2 linked regions of the Xenopus tropicalis genome follow. The protein of the gene in region 1 interacts with the protein of each later gene in a pairwise test. Links are inferred from orthologs where the notes say so. Each region holds a gene or a part of one and is shown in the gene's direction. Other genes may lie near its edges.

Region 1 (3,658 bases):
CATTCACTTAGAGTCCACAAATTCCAGCATGTTGTGACAGAAGTGACATCGCTGCTGACATCATTAGGCACACCGTATATTCTACAGGTAATAACTAGTTCTGTATTCTGTATATTTAGCTACATGATACTTGCTATTCGGATGCCAAGGGGGAAGGTTCATTTCAAAGCAAATATTTGTTATGGGTGATACGCAGACCTAGTAATAAGTGACCTAGGCTAAAGAATAACCTGCTGGAACTGCTATCAGCCAGGAACATAAATAGTGCAGTATATCTGGGATAAACCACCCATGCCAGGGAGTGTGAGTGTCATGCACCCAGCCAAGTTCTTATGGAAGTATGGTCAATATTGTAAAATACATTCCAGTCCTGTGCAAAGTTATTCATCCCCATGACCAGTTCTTTCATTTTACCAAATAACATATTCGATCTTTGTGATAAAACGTCAGAAAGATTTAAAGGGAAACTATACCCCCAGAATGAGTACTTAACCAACAGAGAGTTTGTCAGTGACCTATTAAAGAACCTCACCAAACTGGAATACATATATAAATCAGTAAATATTGCACATATTACATACTTTTAGTGATGGGCTCGGTGCTCCCTCAGAGATCAGCTGACAGGAAATAATACAGATATAACTGTAACAGGAAGTAGCATGGAAGCAAAAGATAGTACTCTGTCCATTCATTGGCTGATGGGGCCTAGCATGTATGTGTGCCTTGGCTTGTTTGTGTGCACTGTGAATCCTATGATCCCAGGGGGCGGCTCTTGATTCTCAAAATGGCAGTTTTCTATTTAGGATTATCCAATAACACATACTACTAAAAAAGTATCTTCTTATGAAAATAGTTTATTTAGATGAAGCAGGGTTTTACATATGCGTTTGTTTATGCAGTATACTATTATAGAGACCTACATTGTTTGGGAGTATAGTTTTCCTTTTAAACATGCAGTTGGCGCAAGTCAGGGGTGCCCATAGGGTGCTAGTGTCCAGTTTACAGAAGGTCTGATTTACAGAGATAGGTGCCAGTAGCAAAAAATGAGCAATGGGTTTTTTATCACTTAGAAAATGAAAGCACATATCTGATTTGGATGCTATAGGAACCACACTGGTGCAGTTTAGCCCCTATCTGTGTAAATCAGATAATGAAATATCAGTGTGGGATTTGTTTGGTAAAATAAGAATAACGGCCCAGGGTCTGAATACTTTTGCAAGGCACTGTGTCTGCCTGAGGGTGCCAATGCGTTAAGCACACCCCAATCCATTTATTTGCCACATGGATGAAGTTGGGCAGCATGGATTTCTTGTGATATATAGTGCCAGTAATCCCTGCTTATTTATTTAGCTAACCTTTTATAGCAGTTACATGCACAATGCCCGTCCCGTGACTGGCTTTCCATTGATAAGTACTTTACTGATATATATATATATATATACTGATAGATATACATATATACCTGTCCAACATTAGCCAAGTTAAAGGTGCCTGTATTTAAAACACATTTTGCCTATTTTAATAAGATACATAATTTAATTTTGTAATAATAATGTAGTGATTTGCTTTTACTTTTCATACCTTATCCTGCCTGTGCTAGGGGGCTATAAAGAACTGTACAGCAGCCCCATGACGTTTACAGCCATAATTCTTGCTTCACCTTTCTAGGAAATGATAGGAAAGCACCTCTAGTGGCCAGAATTAGATGGTGCTGATGCATTTCATGCCAGTGTTGTGCAGCTGGTGTTATTGTATCACTCATATTTATCTTTCTGTACTTTATAGAAAAGGCCACAAATGAATACAACACCAGTGAAGACTGGGGACTTATTATGGACATCTGTGACAAAATCGTTAACACTCCAAATGGGTAGGAATTATTATTATTTTTACTACTTCTTGTTACCTATTAGCTGTAGTAGTAGCTGTTATTAGGCATCTGATTTTTTTTTTTTATTTTGCTAAATCCGTAACAGTGACTGTACCTTCTTGTGTCTTCTCGTTTCAGTGCAAAAGATGGCCTCCGATCCATAATGAAGAGAGTCAATCACAAAGTTCCACACGTGGCTTTGCAGGCTCTGACTGTGAGTGGAAGACCCTTTGCCAACTTTTTGATTGGCTGTGATTACAGAAGAACTTACAAAGAGAAGGACTTTTAAAGGGGAACTGACCAAAAAATAAAATAAAAAATATTCTAGAATTGTGTAGGCAGGTGGATTACGGGCATCTTTAGATTATGTCTTTATAGATTTTAATATTCTAGTACATGAATTAAAGAGGTGGTTCACCTTTAAGTAACTAACTTTTAGTATGTTATAGAATGTCACATTCCTTGGTATTCATTATTTTTTTTTGTATTGTTTTTGAATTATTTGCCTTTCTCTTCTGACTCTTTCCAGCTTTTAAATGGAGATCACTGACCCCCAAAAACCAAAAACTATTGCCAAAAACTATTGTGAGGCTACAATGTTATTGTTACTTTTAATTACTTATCTTTATATATAGGGTCTCCTCTATTTATATTCCCAACTGCCTGGTTTGCTAGGGTAAATTGCACCATAGCAACCTTGTAGCTGCTAAAATACCAAACTGTAGAGCTGCTAAAAAACTATAAATAACTGTAACACCATAACAAATAAAAAGACCAATTGCAGACTGTCTTAGCAATTTTTGCATCATTCTAAAAGTTAATTTAAAGGTGAACTACCCCTTTAAAGGAGAGGCAACCCCTAAATCACCTATTAGTTAGGCACCGGCAGTGACTAGTTGACACCAAATTTAAGGGTCCATTTTCCAACTTCTCTTTATAGCTGGAGCTGCTGGGACTTGTAGTTCAACAGTTGCTACAGGGCTTGAATTTATTTTATATATATGTTTTTTTTTAATCTGCTTTTCATTTCCAGCTGTTGGGGGCCTCTGTGTCAAACTGTGGGAAGGCTTTTCACTTAGAGATCTGCTCCAGAGAATTTGCTAGTGAAGTGCGTGGTGTTATTTCAAAGGTGAGTTTTTCAGTAACTGGTTCTTAGTTTTTGGTCAGTTCTCTTGTTTTACTAGAATGCCTCATACAGATAGTGTCAGACCTGACCAGTCTTAGTACTGTATAGCAGCCTTCTGTATACTGTACTGTATATTGCCTTCCAGGTTGTATTAAACTAAAAATTCCAAAATTGGACTTAAGGATTTAAAGGACTAAAATTGGAGCAGTACTGCTTCCTGCATGCCCTGTGCCATGCCCCTTGTGTGCCCTCTTCTGTGTGCCATATGCTTATGTAATACAGTTGGGTCAGAGCTGAAATTAAAGGGACAGTAACACCAAAAAATGAAAGTGTATAAAAGTAATTTCTATATAATGTAATGCTGCCCTGTACTGGTACAACTGGTGTGTTTTCCTTGGAAAGACTACTATAGTTTATATAATAAAGCTTCTGTGTCGCCACGGGGGCAGCCATTTACAGGAGAAAAGGCACAGGTTACTTAGCAGATAACAGATAAAACCCCATTATATTCTACAAAGCTTATCTGTTATCTGCGATGTGCCTGTGCCTTTTCTCCTTTTTCCCAGCTTCAATGGCTGCCCTAGTGTTGATATAGCAGCTCATTTTATATAAACTATAGTAGCGTTTCTGTTGCAAACTTACCAGTTTTACCAGCGCAGGGC
Region 2 (3,658 bases), on another chromosome or scaffold:
ATTAAAGAACCAGTGGGTTTAAACTGTTTGACGGTTAGTCTAACGTCATGCAATGTGAGTTCTAGGCCAGCTGAGAAAATGTAGATACTGACACATACCTGTAGTATGAATAGGATCTGCTTATTAGTGCGCAAACAGGGTGGATTTCAGCCAGAAAATCCACACTAGCGTTTTCTAGACAAAAACACATTTCCCTTACCCTAAACCAGTAAAAAAAGTGTGTTTGCTTTAGAAACATTACTACTGTAGTGGTAAATACATTTGTTATGTAGCTATTCAAGCAGAAATAGAGCACTAGGGAATATGTTTACATAGCACCTAAACTAAGTAAAGAGTGGGATATTCTGATGCCAATTAATTGCTTGTTTATAGGTGCTGGATAAACAAATACAGACTTTAAATGTAAAAAAAAAAATAAAAGTTTACTTTATGGCAATACTAGGCCTTTAAGGGTAAAAGTAGATACTGATTAAAGCTGTGATGTTACTGCTAACCCACAGCTGTTCCTTGGCATTGATTCCACTGTAAAGGTTCTAGGTATGTTATATATAAAAGTGGCTACCCCAGAATGACACCGAAACATATCGTTAATCATACACTTAAAGGAACAGTAATACCAAAAAAAATGAAAGCGTATAAAAAAAATTACATTATAATGCACTGTTGTCCTGCACTGGTACAACTGGTGTGTTTGCCTCAGAAAGACTACTATTGTTTATATAAATAAGCTGCTGTGTAGCCATGGGGGCAGCCATTCAAAATAGAAAAGGCACAGGATAACAGATAAACCCCCATTATATTCTACAGAGCTTATCTATTATCTGCTATGTAACCTGTGCATTTTCTCCTTTTTACCCAGCTTGAATGGCTGCCCCCGTGGCTACACAGCAGCTTATTTATATAAACTATAGCAGTCTTTATGTAGCAATCACACCAGTTTTACCAGTGCGGAGCAACAACACATTATATTTTAGTTACTTTAAAACACTTTAATTTTTTGGTGTTACTGTTTCTTTAAACAGACTTGCTGAGAACTATGGGACCTGCAGGAAGTCCAGTGAACCTGTGAAGGAACCAGCCTTGTTTGTAAAATTGTACATTGTATTCAGTATTTCTGAAAAACGTTTATTTTGTCTTTTTAAGCACATCTTAATGAGCCAAATTATAAAGGACAATATGCTTTCCTGTGTTTGTAGAAATAGCACAATATTCAATAAAGCCAGTTATGTTTGTTTATATTTCCTGCTTAAAATGGAATTCAAGCACTTTCATAAAGGGTATTGTTTTGATGTTTTGCTGTATAATTAAGAGTAATTATGTGACTCAAGCCTTCCATTACTCTTGTTCTGGCACAGGAGACAGCTGTACAAATCCCAGATACAGCAGCAGTCAGCACATCTTCAGAACTGCATGGTGCTCAGGTCAACCCAGGTAACTTATAGAATCAAAGTTCTCTCCTGTTATAAGCTACAGAATAAGTGACAAAGTAGTCATTTCAGGATAAGGAACGATATGGGATGCCAAGTCCCCAACATTATCCTGTTGGCTGTGTGCTGGAAATGGCAAAGAAATAACAATAACAAGTTAGGTACTTAGGCCGTACATAGAACCCATCATAAATAAAACATGTAATTTATAGGTTTAACTTAATATACTATTTTACCATTCACAACTAGACATACCCCTGATACACCTGTTGAACTCCACCCATTATAAGCCCTGGGTTTAATGACTGTGTGAGTAATAGATTTTGCTGAAATTCCGGCACTTTGCAATATTTGGATTTTACTGAATCCTTAGTTCTCAGCTGAACAAAGCCCTTGTCAAATGACAGCTAAAAGTGATTAATTTGATTTTGTTGACTATGCTGCAATTTAAAAATAAAATTAAGGATTGGCATATGGCCAACTATCCATCCATATGGATGGATATTTGCAGTTAGTGCATCTGCTAGCGACAATTCAAATAAGTTACAGTTTCGCGACTTTTCTACGCATGTACTTTTTCAGTTCAAACCTTTTAGTAAATGCCAGACATTTGTGAAAATAAGTAAATTCTAATTTTTAAAAAGAAAAAATGAGAAGATAGAGTTTTAGTAAATCTGCCTCTTTATCCCCAGTTCTCTTAATGGTGTTGTATAGGACATGCAGCCTCCAGACAGTTTTTTTTTGCAAACAATCATCACAGTCACATCATGGTGCCCATAGTATCCCAGTCTTCTCATACAAAAAAACCCACATCTCGGAAGAATATATAATTTGAAATGCATTTGACATTTGAGAAGGAGGAGGTTCGAAGCCATTTCTGTTTTATTTCTCACACATGATGCATCTTTATGTGTTTGATGCACATTCAGTATATGTTATAGCATATATGTCAAACACAAGGCCCGGGGGCCAAATCCGGCCCACCTGGCTGTTTTATGTGGCCCTTGGTGAGTGTGTCTGACCATCCAGCCTGATCAATTTCCATTTTCCTTACATAGTAACTAAGACTAAGGGGTATATTTATCATGCTGTGTAAAAAGTGGAATGAAGCATTACCAGTAATGTTGCCCAAGGCATCCAATCCGTAATCAGATTTAGTAGCAGTAGCAAAACATCTATTGGCTGCTATGAGCAACATCACCGGTAATGTCTTACTCCACTTTTTACACATTGTGATAAATATACCCCTTAGTATCTTATTAAGTATATTAATAAAAAATTTGGCCCACGACTTAGCCTGTGTTTTAGATTTCGGCCCCCTTATGTGATTGAGTTTGACACCCCTGGATTATAGTATGTATGTATGTATGAGATGTATGATTAAATCCTAGAAATTTAGGAAAAAAAGCATATAAACGCAAAAAAAGTTTTTTATGTATTTAGCTTGCATTTCAATAAACACACACAGATTGTAATCTCTACAGGGCTAAGACTTCTTTCTCTCCTCCTTTGTGTTTTACCACATGGTACTTAATCTCTGTGTATTTATACCTATTTCAATGTTAGCCCTCCCTGCCTTTCTATACCATAAAATTGTACAGTGCTGTGTCTCTGATAGGGCCATGTAAATAAAGTTATACATACATACACAAACACCCGTGTGTCAGGGCCCTGTGATACAATATTTGGGATGTGGCTGGATGCAAAAAGCCAGGCAGTGTAGTAAATTTAATTACCTGTTTTTGGTACATGCTCCTAAAAACTTTTTCTTTAATAGTGTTGAAGCAAAAAATTCTGCTTGATAGAATGGTGACTTTTTATACACTTATTAAAATAAACTGGACCTCGTTTGATGGTGTCAGGTTGCGGTGGATTCTAGAATTACAAAATTGTAATGTTTGTACTACTACCATAAAAAAAACTTTTTAGAAACTATTCAAATAATGAGCAATAGTTGCTTTGTACATTCCCCTAAAAGCCACTGTTTCGTTTCCACATTTCATTTAATACAGAACCTTCAAGTACAAGTAATGTTGACGTAGAACCAGTACTGGGGGCCAGTGCACAAACTGATGAAGCAATGGAAAGTGACTTACCAAACATGCCTTCCAGGAAGAGATCACACAGTGATCCAGTCATCTCTGACCTTCCCACAAAAGGTAATAGCCCAATACCAGTTATATGCAGTAGCTGGAAATTCTTGTGTAAAAAAAGTTGTGCTTTAGTCCTGC

The links.
Region 2: the proteins of stam2 (region 1) and fam189a2 interact in a two-hybrid assay, tested with the Homo sapiens proteins (2 studies listed by BioGRID and IntAct). The two-hybrid records come from large-scale screens. The link is inferred for Xenopus tropicalis from reciprocal best matches to the Homo sapiens genes STAM2 and ENTREP1.

What each region holds. Positions count from the first base shown.
Region 1 is NC_030685.2:75,879,082-75,882,739, forward strand, and holds part of stam2 (signal transducing adapter molecule 2), read left to right. Parts: intron 1-1,785; coding exon 1,786-1,870; intron 1,871-2,008; coding exon 2,009-2,084; intron 2,085-2,903; coding exon 2,904-2,999; intron 3,000-3,658.
Region 2 is NC_030677.2:129,494,032-129,497,689, forward strand, and holds part of fam189a2 (protein FAM189A2), read left to right. Parts: intron 1-1,355; coding exon 1,356-1,431; intron 1,432-3,439; coding exon 3,440-3,586; intron 3,587-3,658. UniProt on the Homo sapiens protein: Functions as an activator of the E3 ubiquitin protein ligase ITCH in the ubiquitination of the CXCL12-activated CXCR4 receptor. Thereby, triggers CXCR4 endocytosis and desensitization, negatively regulating the CXCL12/CXCR4 signaling pathway.